Linked DNA regions of Lonchura striata. The protein of the gene in region 1 purifies or fractionates together with the protein of each later gene. This does not show direct contact. Links are inferred from orthologs where the notes say so. Each region holds a gene or a part of one and is shown in the gene's direction. Other genes may lie near its edges.

Region 1 (7,673 bases):
AAGGGTGAGACATAAGAGATGTAAAACTCAATGCCATTCTATCAGAAGCCAACCCATTTCCTGGTTACAATGCCTTATAAATGTTTTTCAGCCTATTATTTTGCCACACCATGCTGCTAATACAAATCACCTATATTTTTACTCCACATGGTCCCACTACAATGCATCTTTCACCATTCTAATTTTCTAAAATATCTGGCCTTTTTACAAGGCCATAGTTTGAAACTTGATGAAACTTGTTTCTAGTTCAATCTCTCTCTCAACAATGTCATCTTTATTTCATGGCCTTCCTAAGTCAGCACACCTTACCTCAGTGTTTGCATACAGATGTACAAGACTGTGTGAACTTTCTGCAAGATTTTGAGAATTCCTTACAAATACATTTCTCACAGTAAGTGGACTCACCTCTGCCTGATTTTTCTGTCCTCACTCTCCCATTGTGCAGCTGGTCCTGCAAATATTGTCTGCATTTTCTGTTGGTGCTACTTCTGCCCTCTTGCAGAGAAGATGTAGAGAAGCCACAGTAGACTAAAAGAAACCCAAATGTCAAGCCACATAGGGTTTTTCCTCCTTATGTATTATTGATAATGAAAGTTCCACAGAGCTCAAGTCTGCTCTTGTCAGAAGCCTTTATAGAGCATCCTACAAGACTGGTGTTTTCACTAAAGGGCAGGATGTGTAGATATTTCCTAGAAAAACAAGAGAACTCTATTAGCCTGGAAAAAAAACACAAATCCTATAAAATTATGTATTTGTGATGCTCATGAGTAATGTTAACTCAGAGAACACAGTGCTCACTGTACAACAGAATTTGAGGATTTAGTAGTAAAGATCTGGAATAACACGGCAGACGCCTTGCATTAGGAAATAAATGCATGACAGTAGTAAACAGTCTGTTTTATTACCTTTTTACATTTCTTTGAACCTTAAGAAACTCATCATAAATTCACATGCTGGAATATGAGAGTGGTTATATCTAATTCTAAATGAGCAGTTAAATGGGACATAAGAGAAAATTTTAAAGCAGTTAAGTTACATTAATAGGTATTGAGCACTTCTTCCTTATTCATGCTAATGATTAGTGAAGCTTCTGACTTTCTGTTTTCGAATATTACATTATGTGAGGGGAGGTCTGTTGAGATAATTTATAAAATATTTTTACCCTATTTTTCTTTCATGATTGTGATGATGAAGCTCTGTCTGGTAAGTTTTACATGGTGCTTAACTTAGCCCCCCCTTGGATTTTTGTTGTTGTTGGCTGCAGTGACTGAATCTGAAATCTGAACAAGGCTTGCATGATCCTGCTAAAGTTAAAAGACCCATCTGGTCTGATAAATTCCCTTGAGCGCTCTCCCCCTACATGTTAGAAAGTCTGGTAGTGGGGAACAAAGTCTGCCGAGAGAGTGGTGTAGGGGTAAGACTTTCACATATGAAATATCCCTATGAGTTTACAAGTCACATAGCAACTTTACCACACGGGAACTATTGGGTGTGTATTCTAGGTAGGCATTAAATCAGATGGCCATACGTACATGAAACAGTTCTTAATTTACAGATCACATGCTGAGTTTAACATAGGACAGGAAGCTCTCTTGTTACACTTATAACCAATGTCTCTAGCTTACTTTCCTTTATATCATTATGTGTTTCTTTTCTTAATGGCCAGTAACTTAAGTTTGACCACAGTGTTATTAAGCAAGCTGTAAATCAGGGTTGTGTCTTCATGATCATAAATGTGAAGAGGCTTTTGGATCCTCATTGATTGGCTGATGTCCAGTTTCCCATGTGGGTGGGTGTGTGGGTGAGTCAGGTGCTGCGTACCCGCCCCAGACCCCTGTCCTCAGCCCTGGCTAGCTCTCCTGGGGGGCGAGTAGGGCGAGTGGAAGCACCCTCCGCTGTACCCAGCTGGGCTTTGGAGAGTGCTTGGTGGGTCCTGAGGTCGCTGCTGAATCCAACGGAGAGGAAATGAGGAGAGGCACTTGTTGGGGGCAAAAATCCGATGTTTATTGAGGTCCTGAGGATCCAACAGCATCGGAGGGGGCCAGCCAACAAGAGCAACTGAGGGGTGCTGGCAACATGTTAGATAGGGAGAGGGAGGGGGACCGATCAGACAGTGGGGAAACATATGGAAGTGGCTCTTGTGAGGATTGACATGTGGGGGATCCAGTGAAGGGGAGACAGGGTAGGGGTCCCAGGCCCTCATCCAATCACTCGGTGCCCTGGATGGAAGTTTCCAGAGGTAGGGGAAGGGGCACCGAGTGACAGACAAGGCACTTAGGAGGGGGCAGGGGACTGACTTGGCACCTTCCAGGGAAACCGACACTTGGGGAAAGGCGGGAAAACTCAGGGAGAAACCAATACAGTATGGGGGTACACTGGAACAAACCATGACAGAATAAAGGTGTAATAAAACATATGAAACCGCAACTCCACAGGCAGGATCCAGGCCTGTGACTGGGATAGGCTCAGGCCACATCAGGACAGTGAATGGTCTTTGCTGTTGACTGGAGCATTGCAGTTATTTAGCTTTTTTTGGTCTATTAATTGGCATAGAGATATTAGTGTTCTTCTGAATGTTTTAAAATGAAGGTCCTGTTACTACTGGACTTACTAAGGAGCTCAGGCTTACTTAGTGAGAGAGTAACTTTACAGTCTGTGCCTATTTTATTTATTATTCCCTTCCTCTCTTCATTCTGCTTTGAAAGATATCTCTGAGTACGCAGTTGGCAGTTACTACATCTCAAAAGTATCTTGCAGTGCAGTTCCAGGTGGAATTATTTTTGCTTTGTATTGTGATATGATCAGATACACAGGAGAATAGAAAAGTTTTTCAGTTGATTACATTTCTATGTATCTTTGATAATCCTCACAAATACATCAAGTCCAAAGGTAACCCACATTCAACTGCCAAAAAATGCTTAGATGCTCACAGGCCTAAAAAGGTATGTTTAGATGTTCTGCTGAATAATGTTATCAGCTTAGAATTAAATGTTTACAGATTTGGGCCTTTAGACTTACTTTTTTTAAAAGTAAGCAGAAAACTAGTGATCTTTGAAGAGTGACATGCTTTTCTTGCTGTACATTGACATTTTACACACCTTGTCTGGTGATCTGTTCCAGAAAAGCAGCAGTCCTGGAAGTTTCCATCCCTGTGTCCCTTAACATCTATCATGCTTAGCTGTGTTTTGAGTGAAGGCTATCCTAGAAGACCATAATCTCAGGGAGTAGAGATGTTCTGTACAGAGCAGAGCTTAGACTGTTCTGTAAGCTTAGACTCAGAGAAGTGAGGAAGATAACTAGCTTGTCACCTTACTTTACTCCAGAATCTGTATTGTTTTTCTTCTCTAACAGCACATTGCTAGCCAGCAATAACTGATACATGAAAGTAGTTGAGCTATTTCAGTAGATTTCACCAAATGTTTCTGTGTTTTTTTCTTTTCCTAGTGGTGAAAAAGTGGCAGAACTGAACTTGAAGGAGTTGTACTGTAAACTTGGAGTCAGAAAGTGGTGAACAAGAAGCTTAAGTGAAACTACTAAGATGCATGAAAACTACTATAAGCAGAGAAATAAATCCCCTGAATAACTTAGTTATGAAGCCTTTAAACTTCAACAGCTTGACTGGTTTTTTTTCATTTTTTTTTCCTGAGGCCAATTTTAAATTGGAATTGACTGGTTTCTGTGGTGTTGCATGTTTTAAATATTAGCACTGTAGTACCCCTGAAGGGTCCTTTATTGTAGCTAGCTATTTATTCCCTCTCTCTTTAAGAAACTATAAAGAGGTGTTTTGTGGCTCCTTGCCTTCTAATATTTATACTTGCATGATGCAGTGGTCACAAAAAAAAAATACACCCATAAACAATATAGAAGAGAACTTTGAGTTCTGAGTTGCAAGCTACCCCTCTGGGCAGAGGTGGATTACTTTTTATCTGAAGTGCTTATTTCTATACACTAATATGCATAATACCTGAGGCTATAGCTTGAGCATTTCTTTTAGTAAGTGGCCAGGCTTAAACAGCAGAGCACTATTCCCCTTTCATTTGCTTGTTCCTTGGACTACTAGTCCATGATGCTGGTGGGAGTGGTGAACTGGACTGGTGAGCTAACCTGGTCTAAAAATACTGTCTCTTTATTTTTGATTTGGCTTTGATGGCCTGTTTTTGGCCTGAGTCAGTCCCCTGGTTCTGTTTGCTGTGCTGCAAATGGTAATGCTCACTTGTGGGTGAGGATAAACCCTGGGGATGGGAGCCTGGTGCCAAGGTCCCATTTGTCAGAGTGCCCTGTGGGGGCAGTTAGTATAGCAGGGCCGGTCTAATGGCTCCCTACTGCAGTTGTGTTCATGTCTACTTCTCTCTACAGAGAAACAGAAAACAAAGAAATCTCTTTTTGCTTGCTTAGTGAATTATATTGATTGCAGCAGATGAATGAATGGAGTGGAAGGGGAAGAACAGACCATGTCTTTTGGTGGCAGCAAGGAAAGGTGCACAGAAACCTGTTTTTTGATGCTGGTAACTTGTCTGGTTTAAATCTACTGCATTGGAGCTCAGCCTCTACATATCTTTCTGTTTCCCTCTATGTGCCTTTACAAACTGCAGTACTAGCTGTCCAGCAAAAGAGCTGCATGCTTCTCAGCTGTGGCAAACTGTCTGAGGAGATAATTCTCCATCCAGCACTGCTCCAAGCCCAGGAGAGGAAATGGGGCTGTCTGGGCACAAGACCCAGCGGAGGGTGAGTAATACGTCCGTACTGGCCATGTAGCCTGCACTGCTCCAGTTGTAAGGTTGTGGAGATTTACCCAGGTTGCTTAAATCAGAGGGCTCAGGCCAGCTGTGCCCCTGGCACATGGGTAACTGAGTGTTCAATTTGCTTTGCTCCTGCACAGAGCTCAGCCTGATGCAGCTCCACAGCGGTTGGTTGCAGCATGGCAGTGGCTGCTCTAGGAGCCTTACCACCTACTGTGCAGAGAAACCCAGAGTTGTTTAAGAAAAGGAGGAAAAAGTCTTAGTTCTACGTTGTAACAATGTTTGGTACCACCAAAACCAGTGGAGAGATTGGATAATCTGACCCCAGTTTATTTCCATTTTGCTACAATGTGTAAAGAATGAGTACAAAATGCACTTCAAGATTACATCTGTGCTTTGGTTTGGTGTTTTTTAATCTGGTTAAGTAATGAAATATTTCTGGATTGCACTTCCATTTTATTTAGCTAAAAAAATCCAAACAGCCATTCAACAGAATAATTTCTTCATGTTTTATTACTTTTTTTCCCTTGGCTTTTAAAAGTTTTATGGATCCTTCTTTCAATACACAGCTGATGGATTGTAGAATTTCACTGAAATTGTTACATACATAGGTAAAACTGAAAGGACTTTTTGTAATCTTAAAGATTACCTTTCCACAATAATTTAATGTTTTATATTAATTCTTGACATATTTATAAATGGTTCTTGTTGGCATTGATTTGTGCCACTTTTCTAAGTGCTGGATATAGTTGTTGTTGATAGGGGTCATGTTGGTGTTTTGGGGTTTTTCTCCTTCACACCGTTGTATTAGCGATTCTAACTCACCTATGGCTTATGCATGGGAAAAATATTTCACAAAAAGGACACATTTAGGTACCTATCCACTGTATTTTCAAAGTGATGTATGTATCCTAATGTTCCTAATATGTAGGCACTCTGTCATCATATAGGAGCATGTAGGTGATCTGTAGGTTTGTTGAGTTGTACATCTACACACAGCTTTGGAAATGATTAACTCATGAGGAAAGAACAGTGTAGGGTGAACTTGTCTTAAAATCAAAAGCTTTGTTTAAAAACCAAAATAAGCTTTCTATTTCTATGTGTTTCTGTATGTTTGCTGATTTTTTTTCTGCTATTTTTAAGAATTATTTTAAGGCAGTCCAGGAAGTTAAGAGGAACTGGGTTAAAACAACAGACAAGCAGATGCAGGAACTTCAATTTCTACAAAAAATGTAAACAAAGCAAAGGTAAAACAGTATTTTAAAAAACAATCAAACCAGATCAAAGATGTGGGGTTTTTAAAGAAATGAAACTAGGGGCTATGACTTCAAAAACAGAGTGTGGTTTTGTGGAGTCATTTGAGCTAGAGACCCAGGTCTCCCATCTCCTGGTCAGATACCGAACCACCAAATAGAAAAGGAGATTCCTATCTCTGTTAATATGTTTTTAAAATCCCAACACAATGAGCTGTATCTCAAGGCCTATCAAGAAACATTTGATTGAATGCTATTCTTCTCTGCAAAACTCAGGTGCAAAAGTTTGTCATTCAGTTTAGGCAACCAGATGAAAACTCAGACTGCTGGGTCTGTTGTTCAAAGTATCTCTTACTTGTTAGTTTTAGCTCTTACTATTATCATATCTGGTAATCATTCAAAAGACCTATCTCATCATATCCTGTTAAAAAAAAAAAATCAAGTTTCTTACTCTGTACTATAAGCACTATTCTCTGTATCAAGCACTGACCTATTGTGTGAACCTGTGTTCTTCCAGAAGAAAGTTTAAACATTTGTCTTATAGCCCCTCCCCCCCCCCCCTTTTTTTTTTTCTCTCCAGATCACTAGACCTACTTGCCTTTACAGCAAATCTCATTAGTTCTGTCCTTTGGTGCAGTTCCCAATGCAGAGTTGAGAAATGCAGTTCTATGGTATATACAGCTTGATGTTTGATCATTGTATTTGTGATTATCCAGAAGAAAGCTGCTCAGCTGACATCCAGATTGCCAATGATGAGATTAGCTACTGCATGACATTGCCTACTTAACCAAATTAGAAGTCAGCTTCAAAATCAACAGGTTAAGAATTTGGCAGGTTACTTTTCTTGTGAATACTTCACTGACTTTGTGTCTACATTCACTTCTTCTTCATGAAAAATAAGCTTAGAAGGTCTGGGGAGAAGGGGATGGTGTGTTTTAAATCTTTTCCACTTGCCCATATTCTCCTCCAAACCAATTCTGAAACATATTCTCTTGGCAGCCTTTACAGCAGTGAAACATTTCACTGTACTCTGCTGTTTTCTCCCTTTCTTAGCATTCCATGTCATGCTTTTCCTGCCCTTTTCCTTTATTTTTGGAGGTAGAGTTGTCAGAGTTTTGTGTGGGAGCAAAATAACTGCTTTAGCCAGCTTTATGCTTGCAAAGACTCCCCCTTCCTACCTCCCACTTGCTCCCCTCCCACAGAGAAAGTGTTCTAGTAAAGATTTCAGCTGTTTTATTTGTATACTGTATAAAATGAACCTAATTGACTGATTCTGATTTAAGTCTACTCCCTCTGTTCATTGGCTGGAGGGTTTTTGTTTGGTTTTTCTGTTTGTTTTTCTAGAGTATACTAAGGATGCCAAAGAAGACACATTGGAGCTCTGATTTGAGTACAGGCACATGACTCAGGCACATGAAACTGGATCATTTTGTACACAAAACAGGTTATTTCTCAATCCTTTCAGGAAAGGATCAGAATAAAATGTAATCTTACAGGGTTAGTCATGCTGAGGCTGGGCCGTAAGGAACTGCAGCTGGTTTGTTGCACTATAAAGATATTAAGAACAGGGTAAAATTAACTGAGTCAGGAAAATGATGGTTCAGTAGTTAGGAACTGTAATTTTCTTCTGGAAAAGGAATAGAAGAGTCAAGTATGTAATTTTGAAAAAAAATCAGAAAGT
Region 2 (8,087 bases), on another chromosome or scaffold:
AGTCAGAACTTTGGGCTAACCTAACTCCTCTCCTTCCAAATGATATTTCATGTCAGCAAGTTGCTTGTCAATATTTAAAAACAAAAACAAAACAAAACAAAAACCATACCAAAACACCACAACCAAACCAAAAACCTAAACAAAACCAAAACCAAACCAAAACAAAAACCAAGCCAACAACAACAACCCAAAAGTATTTTTTGACATTTTTTGCATGTTAAAATGAGACAGATTGAAGTTAATATAACAGTAATTATCTCCTGCAGCTAATATTTGATACAGACAGTGCCAGGGAGGACAGCATGATCACTAACAAGGCTAGGAAAGGATTTCTTCTCTTGTGCAACACTCACAGATGTTACTCTTCTCCCAAGTATTTGAGATTTGCCACAGGCATCTCTGTTAGGTGCTTTATTGTCAGAATTTGTTGCTTTATTGTCAGAACTCTCTCTTCCTGTTCTCATTCACTGGGTGACCCTTCTTAACTCTTTTTTTAAGTGATTTGAAGTTTGCTTGATAAAAAACAACCATCAACCACTGCACAGATCTAACAATTCTGTCTGGTAGAAAACATTTTTGATTCTCCAACTGCAAAAACCTTTTGAATTGCTAATTTCCCAGGAAAGTTGGGGCTGCCCTATCCCTGGAAGCATTCAAGACTAGGTTGGACAGGACTTGGAGGAATCTGCTGTATGGAGTGGTGTCCCTGCCCATGGCAGGGGGTTAGAATGAGATGAGCTTTGAGGTCTCTTCCAACCCAAACCATTTTGTGATTCTGTGATTCTATGGAATCTGCTGTGGGGAACAGGGTGGGGAGAGATCCAAGGATGGATGGCATCTTGTGCTTTACCCGCCTAGCTGGTTAAAAACCCAAAAAACTGTTGAGCATAGAAGCAGTTCACTAAATCTGATACCAGTGAAGAGAAATTCAACTGATATCTAGGATGGGAACAATTTCTCCAAGTTTATTTCCACCCTTACCCAATGTTTTTACTTTCTGTCCTTTGTGCAACAGAGAGCTATGTTTGGCAAGAAATGGGGGAGCAGATGTTGTGAAAATACAAGTACTGTTATCACTGATAACTGCAAGTGAACAAAAACAGATGTAAGAAGACACAAAGTAGAGAATGGGGGTAAGATTTGACAGCAGATTCCAACCCCAGCCCTGAGCTGGATATATCTGGCTAATCCATACATTGTTTTAGAGCCATGCCAGCAACACTTCCAATGTTTGGAATCTTTTGGCATCACTTAGTGGGAGCAACTTGTGCTGGCAGCACCTGTGTGACTGTGCTGGGTTTGGGTGAGCAGGCTTTGATCCAGGGGTGGCTCCTGTGAGGAGGCGCTGGAGCTTCCCTCCATGTCTGATGGAGCCATGGATGGAGGGTGTGGGGGTGCAGAGATCCACGTACAGCTCATGAACACCCCATGGCAGAGCATGGGGATGCCTGAAGGAGACTGTGTTCCCATGGGAAGCCCAGGCTGGAGGAGAGGCAGAGTGTGAGAAGTCCAACCCCTGAGGAGGAAGGAGCGCAGTGACAGTGTGAAGGACTGAGCACAGCCCCATTCCCTGCCCCCGTGCACCACTTGGAAGGAGGAGGGAGAGAAGCATGAGGGAAATTGAGCCTGGGAAAGAAGGAGGGGTGGGGGGAAAAGTGATTTAGGATTGGAGTTTATTTCTTGTTGCCCTGCTCTGATTGGATTGGTAATAAATTAAACTGATTTCCTCCATCTCTTTTCACCATGACAGTAACTGGTGACTAATCTCTCCTTGCCCTTATCCCAACTATGGGCCTTGCATTGTATTTTCTTTTCCTGCCCAGCTGAGGAGGGGAGTGAGAGCAGTTTTAGAAGGCATCTGGTGTCCAGCCAGGGTCACCCATCGCAGTGACAATCCAAAGAGTAGTGTCATGCACTGCCTGTATCCTGAGCTGACTGAATCTCAGAGCCAGACTGGCTTTTCTGGCAGCACCTTGGGAAATGACTGGGTATCTGAATTCCCAGATTCAGGGCATGCTGGCAGTTGTCTGTGTCCCGGGAATATAGATGTATGTAGAAATAGCCTCTCTGTGCCTCCATTTCTCTAGAGCCTACAAGGAATTTGCAACCTATTTCTCATCACTCACATGTTTTTGGTTTTGGTTGCCTTTGAATACCAGGTGAGCCCAACCCAACAGTTTTAAATTAAACCCAAGATTTCATCCTCCTTCTTGAGGCCTCAAGCAGAAAAGGAAAAATCTTCTCTGAGCAGTGGTTTTGCTAGAGATAATTGACTGACAAGAAAAACCCAACCACTCTTCAGAATGTTTTCTTTCCTATCTGCTCAACACCCTTTTGTTGGAATCGGAGGTATTGATGATTCCGAGATTGTAAAAAGTCTCTGTCTTTCTGCCCCATTGCCAAAGAAGAAGCCATAATTTGTCTGTGCTGGTTTTCAAGATTGTTTATTCTTGCTTATGTATAACATGTTCTGCTGCCCTGCCGCAGCTCTGTCCTGCAGGGCAGCGTGTAGGGCTCTGCCCTCAGTGTGATGTTACAAACATTAAATACCAGAAACTCCCTGGGCTGGATTTACAATAATGTGCCAATATCTGTCACCTACGTTGAACAGTGTGTCCCCAGCCTAAACCAACAGAAAAATGCCAACACCACAGTGAGACATGGAGGGCATGAAGAAGGAGAAAAAGGACAAGGCACACCCAATTTCCTCCATCTTGTCCCCTTTGAACCCCTAATCTAGAATCCTAAAATTTTACTTTTGCACCCGTGCCACACTTAATTATTACTTATATCAAACACTCAGAGCTTGTAATTCACCCTGTAAGATTGAAAACTCTTTTCCATGGACAGAGATCAGAGACAGTGTTTCTTGGGGCTCTGTCCAGGGGGGTTCCTGACCCCCTGCCAGGGTCCCAGACCTTCCAGGGCAGCCAGAGGGAAGCCCTGGATTCCCACACCATTTGTTATCCCAGCAACTAATGTAGAAATCACTTAGGGTCCTACTGAAAACCTCCCTCAGACAGGTAAATAACATTTGAATTTCTAAACACAAATGAACTGTTTAAATATGGTGAGCTGGCTATTTCCACCCAGTCTGCTCCGTGTCTTTGCATTACTGCACCTAAACCCTGGTCACCCTTTTGGAGGGAAAAATGTGAATAGTATCTTTTACCCTTTTTTTTTTTCTTTCAATAATAAATTCTCAGCTGTCAACATCTTGCCTCACTCAAAACAATTTGTGTAACTCCAGACACAATCATATTGCTGGAGACAGACCAAAGGTAACAGTTACCCAAGAACTCCAAACACTGTCAGGTTTCTCATGTCTTTTGCATTCTGTTAAAATTTAAAGGTCTGAAATTGTCACCCTTCCTGCTGCAAAGGATATCCTTGCTGTGTCCAACAAAGTTTGCTGTTTTGCCACAAATTCAGAAGAGAATTACTTTTAACTTCTTTATTCTTCCTTACTCAGGCCTTAGCTGTTAAAAATTAAGGCCCAGAAATCCTTGGAGATCACTAGCTTGTTTTCCAGGGTAGGAGGGTATCCTGTTTTTCAGATTCTTTTTTTTTTTTTCTTCTTATACAACTTTCTGATTTTATATCATAAAATCACAGAGTGGTTTGAGTTGGAAGGGATCTTAGATCTCATCTCATCCCACTCCTGTCATGTGGGCAGGGACACCTTCCACTGTCCCAGGCTGCTCCAAGCCCTGTCCAGCCTGGCCTGGGACACTGCCAGGGATCCAGGGGCAGCCACAACTTCTCTGGCACCCTGTGCCAGGGCCTCACACCCTCACACAGAACAATTTCTTTCCATTTTGCTTCCTAGGTTGCTCAGAGGCCCATTCAGCCTCGTCTTGAACACTTCCTTTTCCCTCCCCTTCAGCCTCGAGGCCCACGCTCACAGTGTGTGGGGTGGCTGAGGGGCATTCCCGACATAGGGGGGACACATCCCCACCTCTGGGGGGACCTTTTTGGGCTCACCTGGGGTACAGGGACACCCTGGGATGCTGGTGGGACAGACCCCAATCAACATGTGTCCATCATCCATGGGAGCAGTAGGGCCCAGCATGGGGTTGCTCCATCCCAGGGCAGTGCCCGTGCCCTGTGTGGCACTGCTGGGGCACCTCAAGTGCTGGGGCAGCCCCGAGCACCCAGTTCAGGACAGGCACTAAGGGGCTGGAATGTGCCCAGGGAAAGGAACAACGCTGAGGAGGGCTCCGGAGCACCAAGAGTGGCTGAGGGGCCTCAGCCTGGACCTTGTGGCTCTGCATAGCTCCTGCCAGGAGGGGACAGCCGGGGGGTCGGGCTCTGCTCCAGAGAACAGGGACAGGAGGAGAGGGAACGGCCTCAGGCTGGGCCTGGGGAGGTTCAGCTTGGACACCAGCAGGAATTTCTCCCTGGAAAGGGTGGTCAGGCCTTGGAAGGGGCTGCCCAGGGAGGTGGTGCAGCCTCCATCATCCCTGGAGCTGTCCAAGGAATGCCTGGACGCGGCACTCGGTGCTCTGGGCTGTTTGATAAGATAGGGGGGGGGGGGTGTCACAGGTTGGACTGGGTGATCCTGGAGGGCTTTTTCCACTCCAGTGATTCTGATTCTGCTACTTCCATTACTCCTTTAACTGGGGCAGTGCTCATGTTGTATCTGTGCCAGCCGCTGCTTTCTCACCTGTAATATTTAACTAATGGGGAGCAGTAGAGGGGCTTCAGTTTTACAGCTCAGTTTTAAATTGACTCATTTCCTGGGAAATGCCATTTAATGGTTTGGGAACTGCCATGTGCTTTAAACTCTGCTTGTTAAACTTGGTGAGATGAGAAACTCACCGGTAAGTGAAGAGCTCTGCAGCTGTAGCACCGGACCAAGAACCGCTTCCACTCCCTCTACACCAGAGCCTGCCATTAGTGGAACCGATCCTGTGACTGCGACTCCCCCATCTGACCCCGCCCCGCCGCCATGGCCGCGGCGTGACGTCGCCGGCCCCGCCCTCCCGGTCCCCCCCCACTCGCGGCCACCGTAGCGGGACCGGCGGAGGCCCCGCGGCGGCCGATGGTCCGCGTTGTGCCGCCGCCCCCCGCCCGCCCTGCTCCCACCCGGCAGCGGCCGCAGATGGCGCGGCGGGCACCGGGCAGGCGGGCCGGGAGGTCACCGGCGCCTCCGCCGCCGCCGCTGCTGGCGCTGCTGCTGCTGTTGGTGCTGGGCCCCGCCGCCGCCGCCGGCGAGGAGGTGGCGGTGTCCAAGGAATGCGACAAGCCGTGCGCCAACGGCGGGCGGTGCCAGCCGGGCACCGGGCAGTGCGAGTGCCAGCCTGGCTGGGTGGGCGATCAGTGCCAGCACTGCGGGGGGCGCTTCAGGTGAGCTCCCGCGGGGCGGGGGGCCGGACGTGCCCTGCGGTGGGGCGCGGGGCGCGGGGACGCCTAGGGCTGGGGTGGACGGGGCTGGTTCAGGAGTGAGGGGTTGGGTGTGGGCTACGGGGGTGAAAGGCTGGTTCAAGGGTGAGGGGCTGGTTTGAGTGAGGTGTTCGTTTGGACCGTGGGGATCGGGCTGGGTTGGGGTACGGAGGGGACCGTGCGGCAGCCACGTCAGGGATGGGCATGAGGGACATGGCAAGAGAGAGAGGAGAGGACACAGCAGTGGCTCGGTGGCCCGGGTCAGGTTGCCCAAAGGAGCGCATGAGGGAAATAGGTGGGTACGAGAAGCAGGTTCGGGCACTCAAACGGGGTGGGAGTCTGAGCAGGGTCCAGGGGTGAGTGAGGGCAGTAGGGTCGGGGTGACATTAAAGGTGAGGGGTGGGACCAGGTGAGATGAAAGATGAGCAGCAGATGGAAGTGACACTAAAGGTGAGTGGCAGGTCAAGGGAATGGTGAGGGGCACGCAGGTGATGGTAAAGGTGAGCAGCAGTCCAGGTGATGATAAAAGTGAGGGACAGATGTAGGTGACTATAAAGATGCAGGTGTTAGTGCAGGATAGGACCGTGTTGAGGGGACAATAGGGGCTGGGTCTCTGGGCAGTGAGGGTGTGAGCATGGGGCTGATTAAGGGGAATGTGGGTGAAAAGGGATGGGCAGTAGTCCTGCAAGGGGACAAAAGGGGTTTGGATGCAGAGGGAGAGGTGGGTGTGCGAGAACAGGCTTGAAGGGTGACGGCAGCATAGGTGTGATGGGGTGACAGTGTGGCAGGCTTGGTCTGGAGGTCCTCAGAGGAGGTGAGGGGTTGGGCTTCCTGCGGGAGCTCTCAGAGCAATGGAATATGGATGTTTAGTGCCACAGTTGGTGAATACAGGATGTTTGTTTTGCAGAGCCAACTCTAAGGGGGCTGAATTTTTGGTGTTGGTTGGCTGGGGTTGCACAGGCATAACTGGTGATCAGTTGTGATTCTAAGGGGCTATGTAGGAACAGTGGTTGTAGGGCACTGGATCACTGGGGATCTGGGCGTGATGGATTGCACAGCCAGGAAAATGTTTGGTTTAAATTTTAGTAGATCCAGACAGAAAGTAAAGCTGGAGGGGAGTGGGTAGGGGGATATTTTTTGGCAGTAGGGCTAGGTTTGGGAACTGATAAATGGGAGTGTAAGGATGGTGGGTGAATGGGGGTAGCTTTGTGCGTGGATGTGGCTGGAGTTGGAAGCTGATGGGAGCAGTGAGGAGCAGGTGGACAGAGGAGGACAGCGTGGGTGTGGGGCCAGTTCCTGGGCGGGGAGAAGGACTAATGTGTACATGGGACTAGATCACACTTGGAACAGGTTGGAGGAGAAGGATGTGCAAGTGGGTGTTAGGGCTGTGGGGAGACTCTAGAGGTCTTTGGAGGGGGTTAAGGAAGCTCCTCTTGTTGGCAGATCAGCAGGTGCTGGTTTTGGTTAAAGGCTCTTTCAGGAGAGGTATGTGCAGGGGAGAGAAGCAGTATCCTTATGGGAGTAGCTGGCATTTGGAAGGCTCATCTTCTGGAGCTGTAATGCTGCTGGCTCTTCGGGAGGGGCAGTGGCAGTAGCAGCCTGGTGGAAAAAAGCTCCTGGGCTTGTGGGGAGGCAAGATTGGGCAAGTGGGAGGGGATTGGACAGGATAGAGGGTATTGGGAGAGTCCTTTTTTTGGAGGAGAAAAAGGCTCAAGGAGGGCTCTGGGCAGGGGTATTGAATCCCCTGGCTCTGCATTGGTCCAGGACATGTGCAAACGACTGTGTGTGGGAATGCGGGGTGTCTGCACAGGACAGTGATTTTTGGGCTATATGCCGATAGAAAGTGCATTTCTGCAGTGCTAGGGGCAATTCTTTTAGTGCTGGGTTACTTGGCTGGGTTGTGTGCCTGAGGTGTATCCCACTGGATGAGAAAATGGGAATAGGCTGAACATGCTCCCTGGCTTCCGTATTATGGCAAGGATTTCTGTGAGATGGTTACTTGCCTTGGATTCGTCAGCTGTGGCAGTGAGAGAGCCAGTGTGTGTGTCTGCATGCATTAGGTGAATTCCCTGGCAGGGCTGATTCCTGGAAAAGAAGGAAATAAAAAAAGGATGATTATCCTAGGCAGTGACTGCTTTACTGGGGAGCTACTGAAAACACCAAGCACCCTTCGGTGATGTTCCTTATGAATGTGAGAGGAGGGTAACTGCCTATATAACCTGAACGCATGGAAGAAAAACACTTTAATTTTTTTATTCATATTTATTGGCAATCTGTAGATGAGTGTGTATTGTAAACAGTTTGAAAGGGGTTTTGTATGGAAATGATTCCAGGCTAGGCAAGCCCTGGAAGTCCAAACTGTGGTAGGCACATTCTTCTTCCTCTTAAGATTTTTTTCATAGAGGAGTACAGAGGAAAGAAAGAGAAAACTATTTCTGCTCCTTGTTTTCCTGTGTAGAATGTGTTTAGAAATTTGTTTACCTGGGGTGATTGCTTGTTTGGATTCTGGTGAGGATTGTTTGAGCCTGATGGCCAATACAATCCACCTGTGGCTGGACTTGAGCGAGAAAGTCACGAGTTGTGAGGGAGTGAAATATAGTAGTTAGAAAAAGTAAGTATGTAGTTTTAGTATATCCTTTAAATAGCATATGAATGTATTATAGTATAGTTATAATAAGTAATCATTCAGCCTTCTGAACTAG

Evidence for each region. The genes of interacting proteins can lie anywhere in the genome.
Region 2: the proteins of ANKRD46 (region 1) and ATRN purify together in Homo sapiens (co-immunoprecipitation; 3 studies listed by BioGRID and IntAct, with this or other methods). This does not show direct contact. The link is inferred for Lonchura striata from reciprocal best matches to the Homo sapiens genes ANKRD46 and ATRN.

What each region holds. Positions count from the first base shown.
Region 1 is NC_134603.1:21,600,365-21,608,037, forward strand, and holds the start of ANKRD46 (ankyrin repeat domain-containing protein 46), read left to right. Parts: upstream 1-4,671; 5' UTR 4,672-4,725; intron 4,726-7,673.
Region 2 is NC_134606.1:180,683-188,769, forward strand, and holds the start of ATRN (attractin), read left to right. Parts: upstream 1-5,044; coding exon 5,045-5,349; intron 5,350-8,087. UniProt on the Homo sapiens protein: Involved in the initial immune cell clustering during inflammatory response and may regulate chemotactic activity of chemokines. May play a role in melanocortin signaling pathways that regulate energy homeostasis and hair color.